Linked DNA regions of Anolis sagrei. The protein of the gene in region 2 interacts with the protein of the main gene of each other region in a pairwise test. Links are inferred from orthologs where the notes say so. Each region holds a gene or a part of one and is shown on either strand. Other genes may lie near its edges.

What was found.
Region 1: the proteins of PAK5 (region 2) and UXT interact in binary tests that used the Homo sapiens proteins (3 or more experiments, as listed by UniProt). The two-hybrid records come from large-scale screens. The link is inferred for Anolis sagrei from reciprocal best matches to the Homo sapiens genes PAK5 and UXT.
Region 3: the proteins of PAK5 (region 2) and PDLIM7 interact in a two-hybrid assay, tested with the Homo sapiens proteins (2 studies listed by BioGRID and IntAct). The two-hybrid records come from large-scale screens. The link is inferred for Anolis sagrei from reciprocal best matches to the Homo sapiens genes PAK5 and PDLIM7.
Region 4: the proteins of PAK5 (region 2) and CCNG1 interact in binary tests that used the Homo sapiens proteins (3 or more experiments, as listed by UniProt). The two-hybrid records come from large-scale screens. The link is inferred for Anolis sagrei from reciprocal best matches to the Homo sapiens genes PAK5 and CCNG1.

What each region holds. Positions count from the first base shown.
Region 1 is NC_090022.1:193,097,107-193,104,806, reverse strand, and holds the start of UXT (protein UXT), read left to right. Parts: upstream 1-4,186; 5' UTR 4,187-4,550; intron 4,551-6,459; 5' UTR 6,460-6,488; coding exon 6,489-6,574; intron 6,575-6,688; coding exon 6,689-6,770; intron 6,771-7,700. Other genes in the region: ER membrane protein complex subunit 3-like, read right to left, coding at 238-295, 3,733-3,890. UniProt on the Homo sapiens protein: Involved in gene transcription regulation. Acts in concert with the corepressor URI1 to regulate androgen receptor AR-mediated transcription. Together with URI1, associates with chromatin to the NKX3-1 promoter region.
Region 2 is NC_090021.1:145,308,511-145,316,909, reverse strand, and holds the start of PAK5 (serine/threonine-protein kinase PAK 5), read right to left. Parts: upstream 3,626-8,399; 5' UTR 3,396-3,625; exon of another isoform or gene 3,392-3,395; intron 1-3,391.
Region 3 is NC_090022.1:76,897,841-76,905,865, forward strand, and holds the start of PDLIM7 (PDZ and LIM domain protein 7), read right to left. Parts: upstream 3,279-8,025; 5' UTR 3,220-3,278; coding exon 3,177-3,219; intron 1,244-3,176; coding exon 1,137-1,243; intron 1-1,136. UniProt on the Homo sapiens protein: May function as a scaffold on which the coordinated assembly of proteins can occur. May play a role as an adapter that, via its PDZ domain, localizes LIM-binding proteins to actin filaments of both skeletal muscle and nonmuscle tissues.
Region 4 is NC_090022.1:109,470,258-109,477,948, forward strand, and holds the start of CCNG1 (cyclin-G1), read right to left. Parts: upstream 3,625-7,691; 5' UTR 3,485-3,624; intron 1,177-3,484; coding exon 913-1,176; intron 1-912. UniProt on the Homo sapiens protein: May play a role in growth regulation. Is associated with G2/M phase arrest in response to DNA damage. May be an intermediate by which p53 mediates its role as an inhibitor of cellular proliferation.

The DNA.
Region 1 (7,700 bases), on a different chromosome or scaffold from region 2:
GATTATTTTTGTGTTTGATTTATTAAAATATTCCCATCCAAACCCAAGTAACGAAGGTGGAGGCATTACTTTTCATTCAACCCTCGTATAATGTTGTATGTAATGTGTTTTTGTATGTTGTCGGCATCGAATTGCTGCCGTTGTAAGCCACCCTGATTCCCCATTTGGGGGTTGAGAAGGACGGGGTAGAAATGTTGGAAATAAATAAAAATAAATAATATATCTCTTGTCTCTCACCTGAGGCGTGAGGAAGCGTCCATTTTCTCTCAGGAGGCGGCTCCGGGCCAGAATCTGCCTGACGGACAAAGAGCATTCGACTCAGTTGTTGCCCCGACAAGATCTGTGAGCACCAAGTGGTGACGCCAGTCGTGGCATCAAAGCCACCCGCCAGGCCCAGCAGTCAAAGTTGGGATATCGCTCACATCCTCCACATTCCTAGGCTCAAGCAACTGTTTTCAGAGTGGTATTTCTAGGGGTGACAACTGCAACCCCAAAATAAGGGCCCCATTTCCATACGGCCCCCAAGCCATTGCAAGGGATTTTTTGATCAACTGCTATTTTGTATTAATAGAATCAAAAAGCTGGAAGAGACCTCATGGGCCATCCAGAAGCAGGAATATTGCATTCAAATCACCCCTGACAGATGGCCATCCAGCCTCTGCTTAAAAGCTTCCAAAGAAGGAGCCTCCACCACACTCCTGGGCAGAGAGTTCCACTGCTGAACGGCTCTCACAGTCAGGAAGTTCTTCCTCATGTTCAGTATTATGTGGATTCATTTAGGATTAAAAACATTTTGGATGATCCTGGGGACAGGATATTGCCTGTCTAACTTTGAATACCCTAATTTAGGATGTAACAAAATATCTCTATCAGCAGTCCGCAAGTTATGAACAAGATAGGTTCTGGATTGCTGTGAGTTTTCCGGGCTGTATGGCCATGTTCCAGAAGCATTCTCTCCTGATGTTTCGCCCACATCTACGGCAGGCATCCTCAGAGGTTGTGAGGTCTGTTGGGAACGAGCCAAGTGAGGTTTATATAGGTTGGAACCTTATATAGATAGCTTCTATACGGTGCTTCTTAAATTGAATTTGAATGTAAATTGGAACAGGCCATTTTTTAAAGTGCAAGGAGACACCTTTTCCCCATGATAACTCTTTCAAGAGTGAATTTCCCTTCCAAGGGGGAGATTTATCTCCCTTCCTGTTGTCCAGGACGCCTTCTACATTGCCATACAAGACATATTATATTTGGGGTGGATCCATGCTCTAGAGCGGGCATGGGCGGGTTTGGGCCCTCCAGGTGTTTTGGACTTCAACTCCCACAATTCCTAACACAATTAAGTGGCTGAGGGGGAAAAGGAAGGGTCAGCCGGCCTGACTCCCTCTACGAAGGTTGAGAAGATCGGGATATAAAAGTTTTAAATAAATAAATCAATAAGGGGCCTGAGGGTGTTAGGAATTGTGGGACTTGTAGTCCAAAACAAACACCTGGGGGACCCAGGTTTGCCCATGCCTGCTCTGGTGTGATGTGATGAGGCCCTTTAAATTGTTGTTCAATTCTTTTAATTATTATTGTTTGGACGTGGAATAATACCAGATTATGTAAACCGCCCTGAGTCCCCTTTGGGGTGAGAAGGGTATAAATAAATAAATATTATCAAAGCAGATAATTCACATTAACTTCTTTGGATTATATGAGTCTACACAGCTCAAATAAAATAATCTGGATTTTATATGGCAGTGAAGATAGGGCCTCAGATCCCTTCTACACTGCCTGATTATCTGCTTCATTTATTTACTGTATTTGTATACCACCCCTCTCAGCCTTCCGGCGACTCGAGGCAGTTTACAAGGCAAAATTCAATACCATAGAAACACAAATATAATATAAAAAAGCATTAACATCCATAAAATCGTAACAATAACAATAAAATATAAATCAATAAATCCTCATTAAAAAGAAACATTGTCCAGTCTCATTGCGTAGTTGTTCCAATTCCTATGTCCGTTACTCAATATTTGCAAATGCTTGCTCGAATAGCCATGTCTTGAGTTTTTTCCAAAATGTTAGGAGTGAAGAAGTCGATCTGATCTCCCTTGGGAGGACGTTCCATAGCTGAGGGGCCACCACTGAGAAGGCCCTGTCTCTCGTCCCCGCCAGATGTACTTGTGACGAAGGCGGGACCTAGAGCAGGGCCTCCCCAGATGATTTTAAAGTCCTCTATGGTACATAATCCTCGATGGATGTTTTGAACTGGAGTATATGGCAGTGTAGACTCAAATAATACAGTTCAAAGCAGATCATGTGGAGTATCAGTTTTGATAATCTGGATTAAATGGCATAAAGGGCCTGAGGCTTTACTGAACAATGCTTGTGGCACACTTGAGATTCCGGCTAAAGCTACATGCAATGAATGTAACGTGGGCTATACAAACTTTATACATTTGCCATAGGAATCTGTGCATCTCCTCAATTATATATGAATTGTCCAGGGTTTAAAAACCACACTAGGAAAACTAGAGAGGTGTACTGCACCCTTTAATGGGTGTCACAGCAGCTGTTGCTTTAAATAAATAAATAAATAAATAAATAATAGGATTGTTGTAGGTTTTTTCGGGCTATATGGCCATGTTCTAGAGGCATTCTCTCCTGACATTTCGCCTGCATCTATGGCAAGCATCCTCAGAGGTAGTGAGGTCTGTTGGAACTAGGACAATGGGTTTATATATCTGTGGAATGACCAGGGTGGGACAAAGAACTCTTGTCTGTTGGAGCTAGGTGTGAATGTTTCAACTGACCACCTTGATTAGCATTTGATTAGCACTCTTTAGGAGGAGTTTGAAAACGTGGCTGTTCCAGTGTGCATTCCCAGAATAGGAAACCCCAAAGCACTTTGTCCCAAATGTACTTTACTAGAAATCTAGGATTGTCTGCACGCCCTATCTTTCTCCAAAAATACTTATCAATTTCACCTGGTCATGGCCAGTTTTTAAATTTTTTAATCTATTACAACTGGCCCTGACACTGATTTTAATTGCGTCATGTTGTCATTGTCAATGCCTATTGCTTGAGTTATTTATTGATGTATTGTTTGTTGTTGTTTATTGATGTATTGGGTCTCAGCCTCTTGTACGCCGCACCGAGTCCTTTGGGAGATGGTAGCCGGTTATAAATAAAGATTTATTATTATTATTATTATTGGTGGCCTGGCAGTGCCTGGGGCAATCTTTTGTCGAGAGGTGATTAGATGTCCTTGATTGTTTCCTCTCTGTTGTTGTGCTGTTATAATTTTAGAGGTTTTTTTAAATACTGGTAGCCAGGTTTTGTTCATTTTCATGGTTTCCTCCTTTCTGTTGAAATTGTCCACATGCTTGTGGATTTCAATGGCTTCTCAACAAAAGATTCCCCCAGACTCAGCCAGGCCTTCAAATGCTAATGTGGATTTCAGTGGCTTCTCTGTGTAGTCTGACATGGTGGTTGTGAGAGTGGGCCAGCATTTCTGTGTTCTCAAATAGTATGCTGTGCCCAGCATATAATAATAATAATAATAATAATAATAATAATAATAATAGCCAGAGGCTTTTGAGGCAGAGCGGGATTCGAACCCTAGATATCAGAGTCATCTCCCAACGCCTAACCCGCTGCGCCAAACATGCACCTAGAGCACGTTACGGCATTCCATTTATAATATGGGCGTGGCTTCCCGCCAGCCTTTCCCCCGCCTCCGCTCACGTGTCCTGCCGCTGCTCGCGCCAGCCCAGCTCGCGCTCGCCGCGCCACAGCCCGGCCACGCGCAGGCGCAGAATCCCGACGGCGAGAGCGATCCAGGCGACGGGCAGGAGAACCCAGAAGCGGATCGAGCCGTCTAGGCGCAGCTCCGGCGCCGCCATTGGAAGGGAGACAGGGAGGGAACGACCACGGCGCCTCGAGGGTCTCGACCCAACTGACTTGAGAGCTAGTTTATAAAAAGAAAAACTTTTGCAAGCCGGCCTTATTAGGGAACTTGCCCGGAAGTGACGTTAGGGGCTCCGCGGGGAACTTCCGGTGCTGTGTCCCTGAGTTCTGAAGGACAGCTGTTTCCATGGCAACAACAGGCCTGGGCAAAGTTGGGCCCTCTGCGTGTTTTGGACTTCAACTCCCACCATTCCTAACAGCCTCAGGCCCTTTCCCTTTCCCCCTCAGCCGCTGAGGCTGTTAGGAATGGTGGGAGTTGAAGTCCAAAATACCAGGAGGAAAGGTCCAAGTTGGCCACAATGTAACCCCGATGTAACTACTGGAAGTGGTCTAAATCCTGGCCTAGGGAGAAGCGAGGGAGCAGCTGCACCCCCCGAGAAAGACCCAAGTTCTCCTTTCCACTCATTTCCCTCTTGCGACTTCCATCAGGATCCGGAAGTGTACGTCGCGAAGAATGATCCCACCGCTCTTTACCTTCCAGCCACTTTGAGATGTTTTTCGCGCTCATGACCCCGGAAGCGATTGCTTGGGAGGATAGTTAAATAGACCTCGCTCGTGTTGGAGTTCGGGATGAAATAAACCAAGGCGTGCAGTTGGTGAGGTCGCTTTTTGTCAATAAGACTAATTTTGCAGAAGGGCCAAAGTAGATTAGTAATTTCCCTCTATGCTGTTTGTTCATTTGTTCTCGTGAGTTAAGAGCCTATCTCTTTTTAGATTAGAGGATATTGTGCAAGGCAAAGGGCATAATGTTTGTTATCAGTGATACATGTATTTAAATCTGAGCATGCAAGTTTGTCTTGTTCTATGACTGTGATGGCACGCCAGGGATTGAAGGAAAACTATGTGTGTGCCTGGCTATTTCCCCAGCCGCTATCGGCTTACCTTTTATATATTTCTTTAAAATAAGACTCCAGAAACAAGATTAAAATTAACCAAATAAGTTTACTGGAACAAACAGAGAGAATTCCTGTCAGAGCCCTAAAAAGGTGAATCAAAACAAGGTATTACACAGATGCAGTTTTATTATTGAAATGATACAGAGTTAGAATGGCAAAGAACAGATATAAGGTATAAACTCTGAGGTAAAAAACTCGGCCCCCTCGCTGTTGCCGTTTCGGAGGAAGGTGAAGACCTGGCTATTCGAACAAGCGTTTGACTAAACAGTGAAATTGAACATAGGAATACGGAACAATGAATAATGAGAGTGGATTCTGATTTTATTGTTGAGGCGTTATGGTTGTTATATTGTTGTTAATTGTTGATGTTATAATCTATTTTAATTGCATTATACTGTTTGGTGATATTTTGCATTGTTGTGTAAACCGCTTTGAGTCGCCTAAGGGCTGAGAAAAGCGGTATAGAAATAAAGTAAATAAATAAATAAATACAAGGATATGGTAACTATTGCATCTGTCAAGTAGGAAAATTAGGTACCACCTTGTGTGGGGAGGCTAAATTAACTAATTTATGAGGCCATAAAAAACACTCCAGCAAAGCATGCGGGGAATGCGGAAGTACTTCATCAGTGTCGCAGATGGACGATGAAAGCGACAGCTCCCCTGGCGGCCAGAAAAAGTTAAATAGCCTCTGTGTATGTCTGTATATGTTGTGTGTCAAATTGGCATTGAATGTTTGCCATATATGTGTAGACTGTAATCCACCCAGAGTCCCCTGCGGGGTGAGAAGGGTGGAATAGAAATACTGTAAATAAATAAATAAACTATGAGTTAAGTACAGAGTACGGTCTTTAAGGCATGTACAACTATGATCCTTTGCATGTACAGCTATAATCTCTGATCTTTAAGTTCAAGGCTATAATCTCTGTGGCAAGTACATGCTTAAAATGACTGTTTTAGATTGCCAAGACAGTCCAGACACTTTCTGGCCTAACAATTCTAAAGCTATGCCAAAAAAGAATGGAGGGAAAATCTTTCCACCAAGCTCTGAGCCAGCAGGGCTGAACCATCAGAGCTAGGCCTCTAGGGCAGGGGTCCACAAACTTTTTAAACGGAGGGCCAGGTCACAGTCCCTCAAACTTGGAGGGCCAGATTATAATTTGAAAAAAAAAAAACATGAATTCTTATGCACACTGCACAAATCTTATTTGTACTGCAAAAATCACTTAAAATAATACAATAATTAAAATGAAGAACAATTTTGGCTGATGAGATAGGACTGTTGTTGTTGTTGTTGTTGTTGTTGTGTGCTTTCAAGTAATTTCAGACTTAGGTTGACCCTGAGCGAGGGCCGGGTAAATGACCTTGGAGGGCTTTATCTGGCCCCCGGGCCTTAGTTTGAGGACCCCTGCTCTAGGGCGATCCTAAGCTCCATTCTTAAAACTCAGCCAAATGGAACAGCCCACCCTAAAGAAAGCAAACAAGGAAATGAACAGGAGTGAAAACTAGTCTGAGACTTCACAGTGACCATGGCTGCCTTTTCATGTTTGGACATTTATTTTCCCATGTGCGGAAGCCACATCATCCTAATTTCTCTTTCATTCTGCAGGCTGTTGTGCTAGTTCCACAGTGCATCTCATGGCCATGCTGGGCAAACGAGAGGTGCAGGAGAAAGTGCTCCAATATGAGGCTTTTGTCAGTGATATCCTTCAGAGGGATCTCCAGTGAGTGATTGTATGCCCCTCCTTCGTGCCCACTTTCTCACTCATGTATAGGCCTAGTCTATGGTGTTTTCTAGATTTGTTTTGTTTCAATTTATTGCTTTTTTTTCTCCCCAGGAAGGTGCTAGAACAGCGAGATGAAGTCTATGAAAAGATTGCTCAATACTTGCAGCTCAAGAACATGATCGAACGTTTACAGGTAACTCAAAACTCTTTTAAACTGTAGAGCAGGGGTCCTCAAACTAAGGCTCGGAGCCGGATACAGCCCTCTAAGATCATTTACCCGGCCCTCGTTCAGAGTCAACCTAAGTCTGAAACGACCTGAAAGCACACAACAACAACAATCCTATCTTATCAGCCAAAAGTAGGTCCACACTTCCCATTGAAATGCTAATAAATTTATATTTGTTAAAATGGTTCTTCATTTTAATTATTGTATTGTTTTTACGTGTTTTTGCACTACAAATAAGATATGTGCAATGTTTTTTCCAAATTCTAATCCGGCCCTCCAGCAGTTTGAGGGACTATGACCTGGCCCTCTCTTTAAAACGTTTGAGGACCCCTGCTGTAGAGTGTAAGATAAAGAATTTGGCATAATTTGAAGCAGTGAGATTCAAGGGTTTAATATAGCAGGTTGAAATTCTTGGTACCATACGTGTTCTACTTGGATTTTGGGGGATTTTGTAATACTTGCATATATATAACGAGATCTTGGAGACAGGATTCAAGTTGAAACATGACATCAATTTATGTTTATGTGTATACTAAACACATACCCAGTAGATAATTTTATATACAAAATTTAAATAAATTTAATACTGAAAGTCTATTGAACTATCAGAAAACAAAGGTGCCAGTATCTAAATCACCTATGTGGACAATTTTAGATTTTGGAATTTTAGTGATACTTAAACTGCATAACAAAATTTAAGTTGGATTACCCTTTTGTGTAGAAGTGGGACCAAGCCTTTCAGCAATAATGCAATGCAATAAGTGAAGATGGAATATCATGACTGGAATGGCTCCTTGAGTATGATTTTGGACTGTGTGGTTTTTAATAATTGGTTTTAATGTTTATATGCTTTTTAATTTTATGTTCTTAATTTATATGCTTATTTTATATGTCTGT
Region 2 (8,399 bases):
TTCAATTCTATCATTGGTGGAGTTCAAAATGCTCTTTGATTGTAGGTGAACTATAAATCCCAGCAACTACAACTCCCAAATGACAAAATCAATTTTTTGACTGATGGTCACTCCTTGGGTTAGTAGGTGTCTTGTGGCCAAATTTGGCGGCAATTCGTCCAGCAGTTTTTGAGTTATGTTAATCGCACAAACAAACATTACATTTTTATTTATATAGATACTATGACAAATAGGCCTAACTAATAGCATACCCCATACTACACCATACCCTGCATTGACTTGGTATTATTAAAATACAGTCATTAAAAGATACATAAAGATATATTGTATTCTAAAAATACTTTTGTGCATGTAGTATTTATTTATTTACTTCATTTTTACCCTGTCTTTCTCACCCATGGGAACTCAAGGCAGTTATCATCATTCCTTCGAATTATTTCTTGTTGTTGCAAGAGTCTATGGTACCAAGATATCTCCATCAAAATATTTGAAAATTGGGCACGTGTTGAGGAAAATGGCATTCCCTTGTTGGCTTTCTCTTTGGTATCTCAGGCCCCTTCCACACAGCTGTATAAAATTTCACATTATCTGCTTTGAACTGGGTTATATGGCAGTGTGGACTCAGGGCCCTTCCACACAGCCATATAAACCAGAATATCAAGGTAGAAAATCCCACAATATCGGAGTTGAACTGAATTATCTGAGTCCACACTGCTATGAATTCTAAGCAGATAATGTGGGATTTTATTCAGCTGTGTGGAAGGGGCCTCAAGCTCTCTACCTGCTTTGAACTGGATTACCTGAGGGCCCTTCCACTCAACTTAATAAAATCCCACACCATCTACTTTGAACTGGGTTCTCATAGGGCCCTTCCACACAGCCCTATATCCCAGAATATCAAGGCAGAAGATCCCACATTATCTGAGTGTAGACTCATATAACCCAGTTCAAGGCAGATATCGTGGGATTTTCTGCCTTGATATTCTGGGATATAGGGCTGTGTGGTAGGGCCCTGAGTCCACATGGCCATATATTCCAGTTCAAAGCAGATAATGTGGGGTTTTCTGCCTTGATATTCTGGGTCATATGGCTTTGTGGAAGGCCCTGAGTCCACACCGCCATACAATCCAGTTCGATGTGAATTGTATACAGCTGTGTGGAAGAGTCCTTAGTCCACACTCAGATAATGTGGGATCTTCTGCCTTGATATTCTGGGATATAGGACTGTGTGGTAGGTCTGAGTCCACACTGCCATATAATCCAGTTCAACATGGATTGTATACAGCTGTATGGAAGGGGCCTTAGTCAACACTCAGATAATGTGGGATCTTCTGCCTTGATATTCTAGGATATAGGACTGTGTGGTAGGGCCCTGAGTACACACTGCCATAATTTTTTAATTTTTGGTCGTGTCAGGAGCAACTTGAGAAACTGCAAGCTGCTTCTGGTGTGAGAGAATTTGCTGTCTGCAAGGACGTTGCCCAGGGGACGCCCAGATGTTTTGATGTTTTACCATCCTTCTCTCATGTCCCACATAGGAAGCTGGAGCTGACAGAGGGAGCTCATCCATGCTCTCCTCGGATTCGAACCTGCAACCTGTCAATCTTCAGTCCTGCCGGCACAGAGGTTTAACCTACTGCACCATTGGGGGGTCCTCACACTGCCATATAATCCAGTTCAATGTGGATTGTATACAGCTGTGTGGAAGGGCCCTTAGTCCACACTCAGATAATCCAGTTCAATGTGGATTGTATACAGCTGTGTGGAAGGGGCCTTAGTCCACTCTCAGATAATGTGGGATCTTCTGCCTTGATATTCTGGGTTATATGGCTTTGTGGAAGGGCCCTCAGTCCACACCGCCATACAATCCAGTTCAATGTGGATTGTATACAGCTGTGAGGAAGGGGCCTTAGTTCTTACACAGATAATGTGGGATCTTCTGCCTTGATATTCTGGGACACAGGACTGTGTGGTAGGGCCCTCAGTCCACACTGCCATATAAAGCAGTTCAAGGTGGATTGTATACAGCTGGGTGGAAGGGGCCTTAGTCTGAACTCAGATAATGTGGGATCTTCTGCCTTGATATTCTGGAATATAGGACTATGTGGTAGGGCCCGGAGTCCACACTGCCATATAATCCAGTTCAACGTGGATTGTATACAGCTAGGTGGAAGGGGCCTTAGTCTGCACTCAGATAATGTGGGATCTTCTGCCTTGATATTCTGAGTTATATGGCTTTGTGGAAGGGCCCTTAGTTCACACTGCCATATAATCCAGTTCAGCGTGGATTGTATACAGCTATGCAGAAGAGGCCTTAGTCCACACTCAGATAATCCAGTTCAATGTGGATTGTATACGGCTGTGTGGAAGGGGCCTTAGTCCACTCTCAGATAATGTGGGATCTTCTGCCTTGATATTCTGGGTTATAGGACTGTGTGGTAGGGCCCTGAGTCCACACTGCCATATAATCCAGTTCAATGTGGCTTGTATACAGCTGTGTGGAAGCGGTCATAGTCCACACTCATATAATGTGGGATCTTCTGCCTTGGTATTCTGGGATATAGGGCTGTATAATATCCCCCTGAGTCCACACTGCCATATAATCCAATTCAATGTGGATTGTATACAGCTGTGCAGAAGAGGCCTTAGTCCACATTCAGATAATCCAGTTCAATGTGGATTGTATACAGCTGTGTGGAAGAGGCCTTAATCCACACTCAGATAATGTGGGATCTTCTGCCTTATTATTCTGGGATATAGGATTGTGTGGTAGGGCCCGGAGTCCACACTGCCATATAATCCAGTTCAATGTGGATTGTATACAGCTGGGTGGAAGGGGCCATATATACAGACATATATCTCCCATTTCCCAATGTGTTTATGCCATGTGTTGGTCCTGGAGACTGCCACAGAGTGCCCCACTGGCTGCCCGCTGCCCTCCGCCCTCTCTTGTGTGTCTCAGCCACAGCACCTCCTTGATGCCATCCTGGGCGAGCATGTGTGCCCACAATGGCCCATCCCTCCATGTGTGGAGCGTGGAGACGCCTCCTGCCTCCGTCCCATCCGGGCTGCCCTTCTGCACGATGCGCCTTTGTGCGGAGCCTGGTCTTGCCAGCGTGGGCAATGCCAGGAGCGGAGAGAAAGAGGAGCAGAGCCCAGGGGGGTGGCTCTTTCCCCGCATCCTCCTCTCCCCCTTGCCTGTCTCCTTGCGCAACACCAGCCATGGCACCCTTCCACACCCACCCGGGCAGCCTCGCTCTCTTTTCTCTCCCAGGCAAAAGCAGAGGGAGGCAGCAATGGGTCACAAAAGGCTCCCAGCCACCTTGCATGGAGAAAGGGAGCCCCCTCCCCAGACCCAGCTCCACGCCCAGCCCCTGCCTGCTGTGCTTACCTACCCCGAGGGCTGCTGGCAGGTGGCTCAAGCGAACTGGTGCTGCTGCTGCTGCTGCATGCCTCGCCTTTGCCTGCTCCTCCTTGTCATCCTTTACATCGCTCCCAGCGCCATGTCTCCTGCTGCCTGCGGTGCGCGTGCCTTGGCTGGCTGGCTGGCAGGCAGGCAGCGCGCGGCACTGGATCCCGGTCCACCACCTTCTCCTTCTCCAAGCTCCTGCTCTTGCTGCTGCTGCTGCGGCTGCTGCTACATCCGGGCTGCCGCCGGCCAGGCCTCTCCAGCGCCTCGCAGCGGCCATCAAGAGGAAGTGCAAGGAAGTCGGCTAGGGATTCGGGCCAGCCAGGCAGAAGGGGCATGCTGAACTGGCCCATTGTCCAAAATGGGCCATCACCGTCTCCCAAAGCAGTTACTCTACTCCAAACTCAAGAATGGCAAATGGAATGTTGGTAGACAGGAAAATAAATAAATAAATAAATAAATAATAATAATAATCTATATAAATAAAAATGTAATGTTCGTTTGTGGGATTAACAGAACTCAAAAACCACTGGATGAATTGCCACCAAATTTGGACACAAGACACCTACTACCTCAAGGAGTGACCATCACTCAAAAAATTGATTTTGTCATTTGGGAGTTGTAGTTGCTGGGATTTATAGTTCACCTACAATCAAAGAGGATTGTGAACTCCACCAATGATGGAATTCAACCAAACATGGCATACAGGACTCCCATTACCAATAGAAAACACTACAAGGGTTTGGTGGGCATTAACCTTGAGTTTGGGAGTTCTAGTTCACCTAGAGAGCACTGTGGACTCAAACAATGATGGATCTGGACCAAACTTGGCACAAATATTCCATATGCCCAAATATGAACACAGATGGAGTTTGGGGAAAATAGACCTTGACATTTGGGATTTGTAGTTACTGGGATTTATAGTTCACCTACAATCAAAGAGCATTCTGAACTCCACCAATGATGGAATTGAACCAAACATGGCATACAGGACTTCCATGACTAACAGAACACACTGGAATGGTTTGGTGGGCATTGACCTTGTGTTTGGGAGTTGTAGTTCACCTACATCCAGAGAGTACTGTGGACTCACACAATGACGGATCTGGACCAAATTTGGCACGAATATTCCATATGCCCAAATATGAACACAGGTGGAGTTTGGGGGAAACAGACGTTGACATTTGGGATTTGTAGTTACTGGGATTTATAGTTTACCTACAATCAAAGAGTATTCTGATTCCCACAAAAGACAGAATTGGGGCAAATTTCCCACACAGAACCCCCGTGACTAACAGAAAATACTTAAGACCATCTGGTCCAACTCCCTTCACCAGGGTAAGAAAACGTAATCAAAGCCCTCCTGACAACAGGCCCGTAGCCAGGATTTTGTTTCGGGGGGAGCTGAGTTTGATTCGGGGGGGGGGGGGGGTGCTGAGTCTGAGTGAAAGAGGGTCTACCCTAGCAAACCTTTTATATCATTACCCCAATACCCCCATGTATATGAGATATATTGAACATGGTGATCAGATCATGATATGAATAACATAACAGTTTAAATAATGTACCAGTAAGGCCTTCTCGCGGACCACCCTGAGAATTTGGGGGGGGGGGGGCTGAAGCCCCCCCAACCCCCCCCCCCCCCCCCGGCTACATGCCTGCCTGACAAAGAGCCATCCAGCTATAGATATGATTCACACACAGAGAGATATATAGTTTCCTAGATTTGAAAGGGACCCTTAAAGAAGGACAAGGATATGTTGCATGTTCCAGAGTAGGCAGACCACACACTCTCCACATCAACACTGACAAAGAAACAACAAAAAATACTGTTTACCCACAAGCATCAAGATATTACATATATTAGAAACCAACACTTTCTCATTACTTTATTTTCCAGATCACCAGACTGGGCCACAGCAACGCGTGGCAGGGGACGGCTAGTAATAATAATAATAATAAACTTTATTTATACCCTGCCACCATCTCCCCAAAGGGGACTCAGAGCAGCTTACATGAGGCCAAGCCCAGTGATACATTACAGCAACATAAAATATAAACAACAAAATAACATCATAATAAAATAAATAAACCCATCAAGTAAAATAAACAGTACAAAATAACATAATGGAAAATCAAACACAGTGGACGGGCCAAATGCATGACATAAAATGGTAAAACTCTGAATGAGATAGCAATAAAAAAGGTACAATTGTGGGGGAGGAGCTCGTAGGGGATGGAACAGTGGAATTAGACTTTCAATAAGTTGGGGAATGTGCAATATGAGGTAAACAGTATAGGTGAAACAACAGGATTGGAATATATGGTCGTTCTCCAAAGGCACATCAGAAAATCCAGGTCTTTCGATCTTTTTAAAGGCTGCTAAGATGGGCTTAAAGCCAACCTCAAGAGGTTTAAAGATGGGCATAAAGCCAACCTTAAAAACTGTGGCATAGACACCGAAAACTGGGAAGCCCTGGCCCTTGAGCGCTCTAACTGGAGGTCAGCTGTGACCAGTAGTGCTGCAGAATTTGAAGAGACACGAATGGAGGGAGAAACATACCAAGGGGAAGGCACATCAAGCCAACCCTGACCTGGACCACCTTCCATCTGGAAACTGATGTAATTACTGCGGGAGAACATGTGGATCAAGAATAGGGCTCCACAGCCACCTACGAACTCACTGCCAAGACACTACATCTGGCAGACCCTCATCCTCGAGCTACAAGGGATCGCCTAAGTAAGTAATGTAGTTTGAGTCCCTGAGAGCCTACACTTCTTCTTTCTGAGCTATTTCCCCAATGGAGAGATTAGCATTGTGATTGTTGTTTCCACAGGGCTTTGTTTTGGGCATCCTCAGCTCTCACTGATGTCTTTGTTGAGGGTGTCCATACAAGCCTATAGCCAAGGGGGTAGTTTACGGGTTCAAACCTACACAACAATGAAGCCAAAAGTAAATTGAAAGTTACCTGAGAAGGTCAAGAGCTTGAACATTGTTTCCATCCACAATATCTTGGTGTCACCTTCGATTGGACACTAACATATAGGAAACATTGAATGAACACCAAGCACAAAGTAGCTGCACACAATAACATCATGTGGAAACTTACTGGCAGCACATGGGGCGCAGACCCAAAATTAATAAGAACATCAGCCCTGGCCTTATCTTAATCAACTTCCGAGTATGCCTGCCCTGTTTGGCACAAGTCTGCCCATGCAAAGCAGGTGAACATAGCATTGAATGAAACATGCAGAATAATCACAGGATGACTTAAACCTACACCTGTTGATAAACTCTACAAACTAGCTGGCATTACCCCCCCCCCCCCCTCCAATGTGCAACGGGAAGTTGTTGCTAACTGTGAGATAAATAAGGTTGAACACTATGAAAGCCACCCACTGCATGGTTTTCAGCCTCCTCCCAGCAGACTCAAATCAAGGAAAAGCTTCATGAGAACCACTATTCCTTTTAATGTTCCAACAGCAAGAGAATCCCTCTGGGCTACTAAACCAGGAAATCCCAATTGGATGGCTCCCCATGAAGGTCTTCCTACAGAGGCAAACCAAGAATAGGCAACTTGGAAGTCCCTGAACAGACTCAAAAGCAGAGTGGGCAGATCAAAAGATAACCTGGCAAAATGGCACTACGTAAAAGAATCCCCCACCTTGTGGGGGATTGGCCACGGTGGTCCACGCTCTTGTTACATCCCGACTGGATTACTGCAACGCACTCTACGTGGGGCTGCCTTTGAAGACTGCTCGGAAACTCCAACTGGTCCAGCGGGAGGCAGCCAGACTGCTCACCGGAGCAACATACAGGGAGCACACCACCCCCCTGCTGTGTCAGCTCCACTGGCTGCCGATCCAATTCCGAGCACAATTCAAAGTGCTGGTTTTGACCTATAAAACCCTATACGGTTCCGGCCCAGTGTATCTGTCCGAACGGATCTCCCTCTACGTCCCACCTCGGAACCTAAGATCTCCTGGGGAGGCCCTGCTCTCGACCCCGCCTTTATCACAAGTGAGGTTGGCCGGGACGAGGAGCAGGGCCTTCTCGGTGGTGTCCCCCCACCTGTGGAACTCCCTCCCCGGGGAAATTAGATCGGCAACGTCCCTTCTTTCATTTAGGAAAAAATTGAAAACCTGGATATGGGACCGGGCATTTGGACACCCAGGCAGCTAAAGAAAAACCTGATGACGAGCTGGAACTTGTCGAGATGGAATGGACTTATGAAACTTCAAACGCTGAGCTCAGGATTAACCTACTGCTGTGTTATTGTATTATTGTGTATGGATGATTTTAATTTTTAATTTGTAATTGTTTAATTTGTTTATATATGTATGTATATGTGATAAAGGCATCGAATTGTGCCTTCCTCTGTAAGCCGCCCTGAGTCCCCCCCCCCCCCCCCGGGGGTGAGAAAGGTGGGGTAAAAGTGACGGAAATAAATAAATTGTGTGACTGTGCAGCAGAACAGACAACTCCACATATGTATGCTTGTCCACTATGCCCTGCCTCATGGCAGTGTCGACTCATATAATCCAGTTCAAAGCAGATCATGTTTATTATCTGCTTTGATAATCTAGATTATATGGCAATGTAGAAGGGCCCTAAGATTATCTGCTTTGAACTGGTTTATATGAGTCTACACTGCCATATAATCCAGTTCAAAGTAGATAATCTGGATTTTATATGGCAGTGTAAAGGGGGCCTGAGAAGGCCCTCCATTCTACTGATTATAGCCTGCTTTTCTCCTGATAATGGGACTCAAGGTGGTCAATGATATCTTTAGAAGCAATACAGTTCAAACAACACAAAAATCAGAATAAAAGTTTTAACAGAAGAGTAAAAATAACTCAATTAAACAGTTTGTGAATGAAAATATTAAACGTTAATATATTAAGAGGCAATTTAATTGAAATTTGAAAAATCCATGCCAACTCTTTATACATGTTATGTAACTTCTCTGAGTAGGAGCTCAATGTGATT
Region 3 (8,025 bases), on a different chromosome or scaffold from region 2:
TGGAAATTGGTGGCTGAACTGAGATTTGAACCACATGCCCACCCACAAAAATGGCTCACTGGTGACCTTAGGTCTCATTTGCAGCAAGAGAAAATCAGTGTCTACACCAGGAATACGAATATGTGGCCCTCCAGATGTTGTAGGGATGCCAATCCTACTATTATGCCCCAACTACCTAGTCAATGGTGATAGATGATGGGAGTGCAGCAGTTCAGCAACACCTGGAGAGCCACAAGTTGCATATCTTCTCTGCATCTTCCCTGTACTAAAGGGTTGGATGGCTCCTGGCCCTCCAGATGTTGTCAGAATGTAAGTCCTAATTATCTTAGGCAGTACAGCAACGGACAAAGATTATGGGAATTCAAGTCCAACAACATCTGGAAGACCACCATTTGGCCACTCTTACTCTTGTCAAAATTCTATCCACTAATCTTCAGGACAGCCTCCTAGCACAGAATGCAGTGTGGAATGGGTAGACTTAAAGATGTCAGCTCACAGGGAGAAGATGTGAATATCATTTCACACTGTTCCCAAACCAGTACCACTCAGAAGACTTGGTAATATGTAGAAAGCAAAACTAAAGAAATCATCATCTCAGAAGTTTAAAAAATTGATGGACCAACACAATCAGCTGTTGAAAATGAACTGCAAGACTACTCCCCTCCGATATAAAGATCTACTAAGCTGCATTTCTTGGCATCATATTTAGAACAGCAGGAATTATGTATTCACATTACCACAACCCCTTCCTGTGGAGAGTTATCTCCACCCAGCCACAGGCAAGTGTCATTTCCACAGGTCCAAAAATAGGGAGTGGGAGCCTCAAAAAGCTGGGTATCAAGTGACAGTCCAGTCATTGCCAAGTACCCTCTCATTACATCATGGGTCCAATGACGTTAGGCTATCTATCCAGCCAGGGCCTTTCTTTTCCTCTCAGGCACAAGGTACCTTGTAAAAGGTACAAAGGGAACCTCAAAGGTTTGGGGGAGGAAGGACAGGGGTAATGGATATGCCAACCCAGGAATGATCTGGAAAGGAAGCGATGATATAACAAAGAAATCACAACTGCTTAATATCCTTCAGAGTGAGAATGAGAAGGCCTCCCTGTCAAGAGGCTTTGAAAGGCTGATACTCACCCTGGAGATGGAGAGTGGCATGTTGAAGTCCTTGCCACCCTGCAACCTGAAGCCCCATGGTGCTGGTCCATCCAGCACCACCTTGTATGAGTCTATATCAGACATTTCTGTGAGAAAGGAGAAAGGAACAGTCACTTATATACAATTGAGGACTAGATAACATGAAGAAGAGGTGCTTGACAAACAGGACTGTGGAAATGGAGCTCGTCCTCCAAAGTTTGCCATTTATGTCACATCATGAACCATGAACCAAAGTGCTCCCCTCCATCCTCTCCATGCTGTTTCCCTCATTAGTTCTTCCTCTTTTTGACCTACAGTGAAGTTTTCCCTTCCCTTGTCTGCAGAGCAGGGCCTGACAACTATGGTCCTCATGAGTTTTTGGCCTTTCAATCCAAAACAGATCCAGCCAGCATAGCTTATTGTGAACGATTATGGGAGCTGCAGTCCAAACATCGCTGGAATGCCACAGCTTCTCTGCCCTTCTTTAAGCTTCCATCACAGTCCTAGCAAAACAAGATAGCAAAAGACAACAGACAGAAAGCAAAACTACCACACAAAAATACAGAGGAATAGTGACACAAAGGGCCAGGAAAAGAATGGAAATAATTCCTGTTTTCCACCCATTCTCAAAACACTGAGCAAAAAGGTTTCTCTTCTATTTTTACCAAAACCACATTCCTGAAGGACTTCCAACTTTAGCCCTTGAAGGGCTCATCTCAGCAATATTAAATGCTGGCTTCCTAATAGAAACAACAAGAGTCTCAACTAAGAGCCCCTATGCCTAAGGATCACATGTATATTTTGGATAAATTTGCATGACCTTTGGATGGGTTTATTTTAAACCTCGGCCACTTTTGCTTGAGTCAATAAAAGCATCTGGATTAATTATGAAAATAGGTTTTGTCATATGCCTAAGCACTAGATTTCCCAGGGTCAGTCATCATAAATAGCAAACCTGGGCCCCTTCCACACAGCTGAATAAAATCCCATGTTTCTGCTTTGAACTGGAATATATGGCAGTGTGGACTCAGATAACCCAGTTCAAATCAGATATTGTGGGATTTTCTGCCTTGATATTCTGGGTGTGGAAGGGCCACAGCTCTCACTGCCAATGTTTGAAGCAGAGCCAGTTCAAAATGGCTGCTTCCCAAGAGCAAAACCAATTGAATTCCCTGAGCCAAAGAAAGAAAAACAAACACGGTTGTGTGAATGAGACCCACGAAGAGCAGAGGTTGTCAGGAACCAAATATATAAGATAAGACCCCCACTGCAATAAAGTGAAACTCTCCACATGGACACGAGAACAGACAAAAACCATTTTAGTAGACTCCAGTCACACAGCAAACTGAGGAGCTTCCACACAGGGAATATAAACATTCAAGAATGAAGGACCCTACATTGGGATGGGAAGACAAAAGGTGCACTTACACTGTAGAAACAATGCAGTTTGAGACCACTTGAATTGCCATGTCTCAATGCTATGAAATTCTAGTGAGGCACCAGCACCCTTTGGGCAGAGAAGGCTAAAGTCCTTGTAAAATTACAACTCCTATATTTCCACTGAAATTAAATTAGTATCAAACTGGATACATTTGACAGTGTAGAGGTACCCATTGAAACTGCTCTGTTCTCATAGTTGTATTTTAACACAGCTACTTTTAATTAAGTAAAATCATAAAGGCTGAATCCTTAATCTACTCCACCTAATCATTCTGGGAACAGAAACTCTCCACCAGGCATTGCTACCACTTTGCTACTTTTGGGATAAGCGAGCTGAAACAACCCTATGTCACAACAAGCAGACAAGAAGATTGCCTCTGGACATCAGCTACTCCCTCTGCCTTCCTTCACTCTGTCTAGGCAATCTTGCCTATATAAGGCATGCAAAATGACAGTCATAGTCCACTGGTTGCTCATCAAGACTGGGAGAGATGCAAATTAGTCTTGGAAACGTCAAATACTTCATGACTGGTTCTAACAGAGGAGTTAGGACAAATCAGAAAGGATCAGGAAAGAAAATCCACATATGTACACACATACCAGAAACATTTTGTTCTTTTGGGCTGGGCCCTAGGACATCCATCTCCTCTAGGACAAGAGAAGACTACAAAGTGCCAAGGTCTTCAGAGCTTCTTGTATCAGACCAACTGGTAGGGGAGACGTAGCATTTGCCCCTTCTTACTGTAGTGTAACAGTGTGTACCAGCCCTCCCTGGAAAGCTGAATTGCTTCAGTCTGAAGGCTAACAGCAGCAGTACCGGCAAGAGCTTAATACCATCTCTCCACAGGGACGGCAGAGGAATGTGCTCTGCTAAGGAAGAGGCAAGGAGCTTTGATTTCTCCAGCTTCTTGGTGGGGCTGAGTCGGCAAAACATGCCTGGACGGGGTCTTATGCCACAAGCTGCAGAAAGAATGCCTTGAGCCTCCACACTAGTAGCAAAAATGTATAAGCAACTTAGAGGCCCTTTCCCTGGACCGAAGTTACTATGACTTCCAACTATGACTTTCTCAGTCAAGCAGCACCAGAATGAACACCTGTGGCACTGTGGTGAGGCACATTTCTCAGGTGATGCTTTGGAGCCCTTGTGGCTTTGTTAAGAATGGGTCAATGTCGTTCCTCAGCTGGCAGCTACTTCACTGGAAAGTAAACTGAGTTTGGAACAAAGCACGGCGCTTATGTGCTGAAAATAAACAGAAACCAGGCTAAGCTCAGGAGACTAGTGGTAATCAGAGAGAGGCCTTCCCTTTGTCAGTACAACCCGCTTAACTCAAGCAGATGGAAACAAACCAGAAAATTAGGACTAAACTTCTTGTTGCTCGGTAACAAGCTTGAAGTTACTGATAAGCATTTCCAGGAAGTACCTTAATAAACATGAACAACGTATGTTGTAGTTATGTTCAAAGCTTTGCGTTGTCACCTTTTTGGGTTTCAACTCCTAAAATATCTCAACCAAGTGACCATGTTGGCTGGGGAGCCCTAGAACTTGCAGTTTTAAAAATTAACTTTCTCAAGCTCTTAACCTGTAACATAAAGAACAGCAAACAGTCTTTTGCTTCAGAAAATTGCATTGGATAGACCACATGATCTCTAGTTTCTGCTACAAACCATATGCCATCTGCTTGCCCACAGAAAATCATACTAAAAAAGGGTTTTGCAAGACCAGTCACTCTAGTTGCAAAGGTGTAGTAACGGTGAGGCCATGGACCATAGTTTGGTTATTCTGGACCACTGGTGGTCCACGGACCACAGGTTGGGAACCACTGGTAAAACCTTTCATGAACTATGGCTCATTTAATCAGATGCATGGGGAATTATACATTATACACACACTTATGATGGAAGAAGAATGTGTAAACACAATGTTTGGAGCAACCTCCCCTAAAGTGGTGCTCTCCAAATGTATAAGATTGTAAACTCCAACAGCTTCAACCACACAGGTCTATGCTGGATAAGGATGATGGGAGATGTAGGTCAACACTGGGTTAGAAATAGGAAAAGAACACAGGAAAAGTAAAAACTGAGACGATGATGTTTAAAATCACTATGGTGCTGTCTGCATAGTAGTTATACTTGTAGACATTTGCAACAGGATGTACTAAGTGAAACAGAAGCAAAAAAAGAGGGGGGGGGGGTTACCAGCTGTTAGGATTTCTGGGAGTTGAAGGTCAAAACATCTGGGGACCCACAGGTTGAGAACCATTGGTCTAGCCAGCATAGCCAACCAGCAATGATTTAGAGAAGTGGTTCTCAACATGTTGGTCTCCAGATGTTTTGGCCTTCAACGCCCAGAAATCCTAACAGCTGGAAAACTGGCTGGGATTTCTGGGAGTTGCAGGCCCAAACACCTGGGGACCCACAGGTTGAGAACCTCTTGAGAGTCCAAAAGAGCCAGTGTAGGAGTCACTAAATAGACTATTTTCTGCATTTTACATCAAGAGAGCAAATTCTACTTAAGAGGCCACCCTATTCTGATCTGTGATAGCTAGCAAATAACAAGAGATCTCCCATCTTGTCCTTGGGACAATAGGAAGATGACAGAGGAACCCATGGACAATGGCCAGGCTTCATTACTCCCATTTTTACCCTCGTCTCCTTAAGATGACAAAGTTTTGGTTGTTTTTTTTTTTAATTTTGTGGATTTAGCTGGCAGGATGAACTAGATGAGCAATAAATAACCCAGCCCAAGAAGAAAAGGATGCACTCTCCACTTATCTCCATATCCCTCAGAAATGCCTTTTACGTCATCTCTTCTACCAAAAAGAAGAACTAACCACGTAATTGTAAAGCCAAGCTACATGGTGAAATAGTCAAGTAGTTAAAAAACGAACAACAGCCTTCTGTTGCCTAAACTGCCTCTTCACATCACAGGAGCTGTGATGGCAAAATGGGTTAAACCAGTGCTTCTCAACCTGTGGGTCCCCAGGTCTTTTGGCCTGCAACTCCCAGAAATCCCAGCCAGTTTACCAGCTGTTAGGATTTCTGGGAGTTGAAGGTCAAAACATCCGGGGAATCACAGGTTGAGAACCATTGGGTTAAACCCTTGTGCCGGCTGAACTGTTGACCTGAAGGTTGGAGGTTTGAAGATGGGTGAGCTCCCATCTGTCAGCTCCACCTTCCCATACGGGGATATAAGAGGACCCTCCCACAGGATGGTAAAACATCAGGGAATCCCCTGTGCAACGTCCTTGCAGATAGCCAGTTCTCTCACTCCAGAAGCTACTTGAAGTTTCTCATGACCATGAAGTAAGTGGGGAATCATATGCCCAAGATAAGCAGAGCAAAATGTTTTTTCCCGCTTCCATTAATAACCACACAAGATCTACAGACAAAAATAAGGCTGGAGGCTAGTGGGAAACTCCCAACATTTCTTCTCCTCACATATATGCTGGGTACATCACCAGCCATAAAGAGAGTTAGAGTCAGACATGTCTACTAAGCAACGGGTTGGGAAAGACTTCCTTATGTGGGTTTACAAGACCCTCTAACAAGCACGGGCAAATTTGGGCCCTCCAGGTGTTTTTTGGAGGTGTTTTGGAGTTGAGGTCCAAAACACCTGGAGGGCCAAACTTTGCCTGTGCGTGCTCTACAAGTACAGGAATTCATTTGAATTCCTTTGGGTATAGTTCCTGGCACTCTGTATATGCTCATTTCTCATTATATACAATGGCATAGTAAAATTGTGTCCCTAATATAAATCAAGGTTTGCTTGATTGTAATAAGTAGATGGTTGAATCCATGAATGTAGGGTCCATGGATATGGATGGCCAACTGTGCTGACAGTCATCAATCCTATGCCTCTAGGAACTTGTAAGGAGGGTGCAAAAATCAACATGACTTTAGTATTTTCCCCAATATGGGACGTTTCACTCTGCTTAAACACAGAGGCTTCTTTCCCCACATCTCGGCCATCTCACCACAAGAGGATGTGTCTTAAAGGCACAGGACAGCAACTCCCTTGGAAGCCACACTAGGCATGGGCAAACTTCGGCCCTCGAGGTTTTGGACTCCAACTCCCACAATTCCTAACAGCCTACCGGCTGTTAGGAATTGTGGGAGTTGGAGTCCAAAACACCTCGAGGGCCGAAGTTTGCCCATGCTTGGCTGATAAGGGGACTCTCTTGGTGCCCCTTGGAAGAGGTTCCCCCATTCTTCGCGCCCTCTTCGCTAAAAGGGGTCTTTCCAGAAATGGGGAACTTACCTGCAGGAGCCTAAGGACGCCCCGCTCCTCCGTAAAAGGAGGCGCAACTGGACTCGACGCCGAATTGCCTCCGCCTCGCCGAGAGAGAGCACGCCAGCGCGCCTTATATACCTCCCGGCCGCTCCCTCCCTCCCTCTCTCTCTCTCTTCAGTACAAGCCCCCTCCCTCCATTGCCCGCATTCAACAAGCCCGCCGCACGCCCAGAGCGCATGCGCACCGCTTGACGAGCCTGTCCGTGTCCATCCCAGCGGCGCCCCCCGACGTCCCTCCCCGGAGGTGCGCGCTTTTGGAAATATGGGAAGGGGGCGTGACGTCAGCACGCTGCCGTCGCCAGGCAACGAGCAAAGCCCTCCCCCCCACTCACACATACACACCCGCATACCGAATCAGGAAAGGAAATGGGACTCCCTCTGACTGAAGGCCCTTCCACATAGCCCTCTATCCCTGGATATTAAGGCAGAAAATCCTACATTCTCTGAGCGTGGACTCAGATAACCCAGTTCAAAGCAGATATTGTGGGATTTTCTGCCTTGATATTCTGGGATATAGGCATCACTTTAACCTCCCAACCCTGCTACACACCTGCGAGACGTGGACTGTATACAGACGTCACATGCAACTCCTGGAACAATTCCATCAGCGCTGCAGCTGGAAAATCCTGCAAATTTCTTGGGAAGACAGGCAGACAACCGTCAGCGTTCTGGAAAAAGCAAAGACCACCATCATTGAAGCAATGGTCCTCCGCCATCAACTCCGCTGGACCAGCCACGTTGTCCGGATGCCCGACCGCTGTCTCCCAAAGCAGTTGCTCTACTCCGAACTCAAGAACGGAAAATGGAACATTGGAGGACAGGAAAAGAGAGTTAAAGATGGGCTCAAAGCCAACCTTAAAAACTCTGGCATAGGCACTGAGAACTGGGAAGCCCTGGCCCTTGAACGCTCCAGCTGGAGGTCAGCTGTGACCAGCAGTGCTGTAGTATTTGAAGAGGCACAAATGGAGGACGAAAGAGAGAAACGTGTCAAGAGGAAGGCGCATCAAGCCAACCCCAACAGAGACCGCCTTCCACCTGGAAACCAATACCCTCACTGTGGGAGAAGATGCAGATCAAGAATAGGGCTCCACAGTCACCTACGGACCCACCAGTACACTGATCCTGGAAGACTATCCTACTTGGACAATGAGGGATTCGC
Region 4 (7,691 bases), on a different chromosome or scaffold from region 2:
CCCTTCCAGGTCAGACAGCAAATGAACCCCTGAGCCATTTGTGATGACAGATATCCCAAATCAAAGTTGGTGCACACTCTACTCAATAATGTGCATTTTTGTGTTCAAAATCAAGCTGTACTTGGATACCTGTTTTCAAGAAAACTAGAAGCACAATTTTTCAGACACTGTACTTTACTACCGGGACTGTGGTGCAGCTGGCTGAGAGTGAGCTGCATTAAGACCACTATTGACCAAAAGGTCATGAGTTCGAAGCCAGCCCGGGTCGGAGTGAGCTTCTGACCAATTGTGTAGCTTGTTGTCGACCTTTGCAACCCGAAAGACAGTTGCATCTGTCAAGTAGGAAAATTTAGGTACCACTTAAATGTGGGGAGGCTAATTTAACTAATTTAATCTCCAACAAGCATGCGGGAAACAAGGAAATACTTCACCAGTGTCGCAGATGGATGGTGACGGTGAAGCGACAGCTCCCCTGGTGGCCAGGAAAAGTTGGAATGTTAAATAGCCTCTTACTGTCTATCTATATGTGTTGTGTGTCTATGGCACTGAATGTTTGCAATGTATATGTACATTATAATCTGCCCTGAGTCCCCTGCGGGGTGAGAAGAGTGGAATATAAATACTATAAATAAATAAATAAATAAATAAATAAATAAATAAATTTACTAGTGCTTCATGGGGAATTTATCCAACACTTCTTGAAAGAGACAGAGGACATAGTTTTGAAAAAGCCAAGCCTTGATTCCAGTTAATAGGATTGATTTACACAGCACAACTGCACGCAAGATATATCAACACTGCATTGAATGCAAGTCTCCCTGGCAGCTGAAGTCTTAGAAACCCATATATTTCAGAAGCCTTATACAGAGGCGGCGATAAATTGGCTTATAACTTAGTAATCTGAAGACCTACCTTCATTTTTGATAAAAACCTGTCCAAGAAATTCACAGCAAGAGAAAATGTCTCTGTACCAAAGCCAAAGAACTGAGTTAAACTAAGGAGATCCTTCACTTCAAAGTCTCTCAATCTCGCAGTCATTCGAAGTCCGTTATCATGAGCAGATTCAATTATTCTTAGGCCAGAAAACTTTGGCTGACATCTTAACTCCTGTTCCAGTAACACATTCAGCTGATGCAGCAGTTCTTGAGCTTCACTTGTGGCAAATGTTTCGATCATCTGAAATACAAGACTTGGTTTAGAATAACTGCCTACAGCAAAGCATGTACATGTCAAGCCGCATGAGAATCATATTCAATCCCACAATCAAGTTTCAAGGCAACTGACAAGAGACTACAGAAACCATTCTGCAAACCTATTCCCTCCAGATATGCCAGGCTACAATCCCCATTATCCCCAGCCAGTATGGCTCTTGTTTGAGGGTGTTGGGGCCATGGTCCAACATATATGCAGCAGAGCATCAATACTGTAGAGCTAGAATGGTAATCATATGGACCCCAGATATTGTTAGAGAGCATCTCCCAATATCCCTAATCAGTGCTCAGGAATGCTGGGAGCTGCAACTCAACAGGAGGAAAGAAAAAGATTTCTGTTCTTACTGTACAGATGTCACCCAAAGGTCATAATACCTGTTTTATTGGGTTTCCAGACTTGCTTTCCAAAGCCACAGTGACCAAGATAATATAAAAGATAGGAATGAAAAGACAACTGATAAAAGTTCATTGGTGAACTGGCAACAGCTTTTAAATAGCACCAACATTCAGTTGGTGCAGCTTTTGTGGATGGCTAGAAAGTACATGAGTGCTGTAGAATTGATGCATTTTGACTCTATTTTAATTGTGATGGTCCAATGCTATGAAACCAAGAGAGCTGTAGTTTTACAAGGCCTTTAGTCTTCTCTGCCAAATAGCTCAATGTAATGAAATCACGGGTGTTAAGTTTGATGACACTTCTCTGCATCAAACTTCAACCCCCACGATTTCATTACATTGAGCTATGACACTTAAAATAGTGAACTGCATTAACTCTACAGGGTAGATACGCTCGAAGGACAGAAGTAACCATTCTAATGGCCTTGCCTCAAACAATTCTAGCACGTGCTCAGAAATGGCTTCCATGTTAAGTATTACAATGGCGTCCTAAACTTTTATTTGTAATGCAGCCTCCAAGAGTTTTCTATCAAAGGGTCACTCTGTGACAAATGGGTTATATGGCTTCAAAATTTCAAGGACTGTGAAGAGTGCTCACATCATAATCTACGCAACTGTGGAGCTATAATACTACTTTTATTACCTTTCTTACTTTAACTACCAAGGCAATCTTCTAAGATCATCTTTAAGATCGTCTGGGGAAGCTCTGCTTTCGATCCCACCTTATTCATAGGCATGTCTGGCGGGGACAAGAGACAGGGCCTTCTCAGCGGTGGCCCCTTGGCTATGACACTCCCTCCCTAGGGATATTAAATCGGCCCCCTCCCTCTTGACCTTCTGGAAAAAAGTAAAAACTTGGCTCTTTGAATAGATTTTTGGAAATGCAGGGCAATAGACAAATATGGAATTATGTAAGTTTGAAACCTGGAACAGCTTAGACGATGCTACTGGAAAATGTGATTAACAGGAAGACATTGGGTATTTTTGTTTTTAATAGTCTTGAAGCTATGAAAATCAGTCCACCTTACTTTGCCCAGCAGAAGCACCATCCCATGTGCATTGCTTTTGAAGGGCACGTTGTGAGTAAGTTAAACTAATGGTAATAAAGGATAAGCAAAAGAGTCGGACACGACTGGACTAAACCTTTACCTTTACATAACCTATTTATAGGATTTGCTGTCAGGACTCCTTCCACTTGTTGAACTGGATTCCAATTTTTGGGTCTGGAGATTCTGCTCCTGTGGGTGCCCAACTCAAAAGTCTGAGTGCGTCTATACAAGGCATCCTCCAACTGCGGCCCTCCAGCTGTTTGGGCCTCCAACTCCCAGAAGCCCTAACGAGTTTGTTCAATTGTCAGGAATTCTGGGAGTTGAAGGCCCAAACAGCTGGAGGGCCGCAGTTGGAGGATGCCTGGTCTACACTGTAGAGTCAATGCAGTTTGACACCACTTTAACTGCCATGGAATCCTGAGAGCTGTAGTTTGGTGAAGCACCAGCCCTCTTTGGCAGAGAAGGCCAAGGGCCTTGGAAAACGACATCCCCCGGGATGCCATCGCACTGAGCCATGGCAGTGGAAGTGGTGTCAAACTGCGCTCATCCTGCAGTGTAGAAGATGCACGCCTGCGGCCCAAGGCGAGGAAAGACATGCCCGGACTTGCCCTCCTGGCCTTTCCTCCGCGCTGGAGGCCCCTAGACGACCCACAGCCTCCCATAACCTTCCTGATATCCCACAAAAGTAGAAAAACAGCAGTGAATTGCAGCAAGATGGGTAGTTTCCAGAATTAAGAATAAATTAATTTAAATTAAATTAAAATGAATACAGGAGTAGCACACACACTGTACTAATAATCTATATTACAGACAAACAAACCAGTTCACCTTGAGTCTCCTTTTCCAAGCAACGCAGGAGAAGAGTTGTCCTCTCGCTGGCAGGACTTCCCCGCCCTTCCAAAGTTACTCCTTCTTCTCTTGCCCATTCCAGCTCAATCTAGTCGCCGACCCGCAAGCTCCGCCCCCTGGCTTGTAGCACCGCCCCCATTGGCTGATTGCGCTCCATACGTCAGAGGCGAATCCTCACTTTCTCCGGCAGTGGCTTCAAAGGGAGAGCGGGATCATAGAGAAAGGGGAGGTTGCGAATTAACAACGCCCTCTAACTTCTGGCTCTTAATCGATGCTTCTAACTGCTTCTGTTCTAATGGTAGGATCGCAATGCGCATGCGTCTGCCACTTCAATTTTGAGGCGCTCGTTTTGACATGCAAAACAACTCCTGAAGACTATAAGCGCATCTATATTGTAGAATAAATGCGGTTTGACACCACATTACCGCCATGACTCCCTGCCATGGAATCCTGGGAGTTGTAGTTTGGTGAAGAACCAGCACTCTGTGGCAGAGAAAGCTAGAAACCTTACAAAACTACAACTCCCAGGACTCCGTTGTATTGAGCTATCACAGTTAAAGTGGTATCAAACTACATTTAGTGTAGTATCTAAGGCTTTCATGGCCGGAATCACTGGGTTTCTGTGAGTTTTCCGAGCTGTATGGCCATGTTCCAGTAGCATTCTCTCCTGACATTTCGCTCGCATCTGTGGCTAGCATTTTCAGTGGTTCTGTTGGCAATGAGGCAAGTGGAGTGCCTGTTTAACGAAAGTATAAACAGAGAAAGGGCTATTTCTCCCACCCTGGACATTCCACAGGTATGCATACACTCCTCTTGTCTCACTGCCAACAGACCTCTGAAGATGCCAGCCACAGATGCAGGCGAAAGGTCAGGAGAGAATGCTACTTGAACAGCCCAGAAAACGCACAGCAAGCAAACGTTTACTGTGTGGCTGAACCCTGTGTTTTGCTTTCCAGTCGCCTATTTACATATTAACAGCTTGTTTGAGAAAAAAAGGTTTCCAGCAAAAGGAGAGCAGGGAAGGGGCCAGCCTGCCCCCCATGGAAGGGAGTTAGTTCATCCCTGAAAAGGCTCCTTCCTGTGTCCTCACCAAATAGATCTGTGGTGCCAATGAGAAGTAAAGCTATCAGTTTTATATAGGGCAATGTTTCTCAACATGGGGGTCGGGACCCCTGGGGAAGTTGCAAAGCGGGGTGTCAGAGGATTGCAAAAGACCATTCAAAAACATATACTGTATATCTGATGGTCTTAGGAACACAGTGCTCTCCGGAGTTAGGTGAAATACATCTCCCCTAAATCACTGTCAATTCCAACCAAATCACTCCAGTATTTTCTGTTGGTCATGGTGGTTGTGTGTGTGGGAAGTTTGGCCCAATTCTATCATTGGTGGGGTTCAGGGGGCTCTTTGATTGTAAGTGAACTATAAATCCCAGCAACTACAACCAGGGCCGTAGCCAGAAATTTTTTTTGGGGAGGGTTGAAAATTTCGGGGGGGGGGGGGGTTTGAACGTTTTTTTTTTGGGGGGGGGGGTAGGGTCACGCTGAAACAAAGAGCACAACCCCCCCCCCCCCCCCCAGCTACAGGCCTGACTACAACTCTGAAATGCCAAGGCCTATTTTCTCCATACTCCACCAGTGTTTACATTTGGGCATATTGAGTAATCATGTCAAGTTTGGTCCAGATCTATCATTGTTTGAGTCCACAGTGCCCTCTGTGCCCACCAAACTCTTCCAGCATTTTCTGTTGGTCATGGGAGTTCTGTGTGCCAAGTTTGGTTCAATTCCATCATTGATGGAGTTCAGAAAGTTCTTTGATTGTAGGTGAACTATAAATCCCAGCAACTACAACTCCCAGGCGACAAAATCAAACCCCTCCCCAACTCCACCAGTATTCAAATTTGGGTGTATCATGTATTTGTGCCAAATTTGGTCCAGTGAATAAAAATACATCCTGCATGTAATGTAATATTTACATTACAATTCATAACAGTAGCAAAATTACAGTTATGCAGTAGTAATAAAATAATTTTATGTTTGGGGGTCACCATAACATGAGGAACTATGTTAAGGGGTCGCAGCATTAGGAAGGTTGAGAAACACTGTTATAGGGAGATCCAGTCTTTCAAATCAACTGAACCTAAGAGTTATAAGGCTTTGTGGGTCATGTCCAGCATTTTTAATTGTGCCTTTCACCTGACCAGGAGCACCTCTGTCTTCCATGGATTAAGTTTCAACTTGCCAGCTCTTTTTGTTGTTGTTTATTCGTTCAGTTGCTTCCAACTCTTCGTGACCTCATGGACCAGCCCATGCTAGAGCTCCCTGTTGGCCATGGCCACTCCCAGCTCCTTCAGAGTCAAGCCAGTCACTTCAAGGATACCATCCATCTTGCCCTTGGTTGGCCCCTCTTCCTTTTTCCTTCCATTTTCCCCAGCATCATTGTCTTCTCTAAGCTTTCCTTTCTTCTCATGATATGGCCAAAGTACTTCATCTTGGCCTCTACTATCCTTCCCTCCAATGAGCAGCTGGGCTTTATTTCCTGGAGGATGGACTGGTTGGATCTTCTCGCAGTCCAAGGCACTCTCAGAACTTTCCTCCAACACCACAGCTCAAAAGCATCTATCTTCCTTTGCTCAGCCTTTCCTATGGTCCAGCTCTCACATCTGTAGGTTACTATGGGGAATACCATTGGTTTAACTATGCAGATCTTCGTTGTCAGTGTGATGTCCCTACTCTTCACTATTTTATCGAGACTGGTCATTGCTCTCCTCCCAAGAAGTAAGCGTCTTCTGATTTCCTGGCTGCAGTCTGCACGTGCAGTAATCTTTGCACCTGAAAATACAAAGTCTGTCACTGGCCCCACATTTTCTCCCTCTATTTGCCAGTTATCAATCAGTCCAGTTGCCAGAATCTTGGTTTTTTTATGTTTAACTGCAACCCAGCTTTTGCACTTTCTTCTTTTACTTTGATTAGAAGGCTCCTCAGCTCCTCCTTGCTTTCAGCCATCAAAGTGGTATCATCTGCATATCTAATGTTGCTAATGTTTCTTCCAGCAATTTTACCCTAGCCTTGCATTCATCAAGCCCTGCACATTGCATGATGTGTTCTGCATACAAGTTGAATAGGTTGGGTGAGAGTATACAACCCTGCCGTACGCCTTTCCCAATCTTGAACCAGTCTGTTGTTCCATGGTCAGTTCTTACTGTTGCTAATTGGTTGGCTCTTATCTAGTCCATTAATGACAACAGACATTTGTTCAGAACCTTGGAACGTGCAGGGGAAAAAGAGAGGGTGAGTTGGTATATTCAACACACTGGTGACACTGAAATCCAAAACTTTGGATAACATCTCCCAGCTCTTTCATGTAGATGATGTTAAACAGCACAGGGGACAAAACCAAACCAGGAGGAACTCCACAAGTAATAATAATACACTTTGTATTGAAGAAGGCTTTCATGGCTAGAATCACTGGGTTGTTATAGGTTTTTTGGGCTATATGGCCATGTTCTAGAAGCATTCTCTCCTGAAATTTCACCTGCATCTATGGCAAGCATCCAGTGTGTAACTTTCCAAAGGTCACCCAGTGGGTTTATATGGCCAAGTGAGGATTTGAACCCTGGTTTCCAGAGTTGTAGTGCAATGCTCATGCTACCTCTGGTGGTACATACAGTAAAGTCTTGCTTATCCAACATAAACAGGCCAGCAGAACACTGGATATGTGAAAATATTGGATAATCAGGAGAGATTAAGGAAAAGCCTATTAAACATCAAATTACGTTATCATTTTACAAACTGAGCACCAAAACATCATATTTTACAACAAATTGACAGAAAAAGCAGTTCAGTACATGGTAACATTATGTAGTAATTACTGTATGTACGAATTTAGCACCAAAACATTGCAATGTATTGAAACAGCTGTGGGAGGCCGACTGCGTTGGATAATACAGAATGCTGGATGAGTGGAGGTTGGATAAGCGAGACTCTATTGTACTTCTGAGCAAAAATGCACAGCGTTGTCCTGCTAGCACTCTGAAACATTTGGAGAACCAAAGAAGGCAGTCACTGGAAGTTGAACTTCTTTTTGCAGCTATAACTGGCATCTTGTGAAGGCATTTGGTTCAGCAAAATATGAAAGAATGCTGACAGCGCATACTCTATTACAGACTGTGGTTCATTAGGGTTAAGC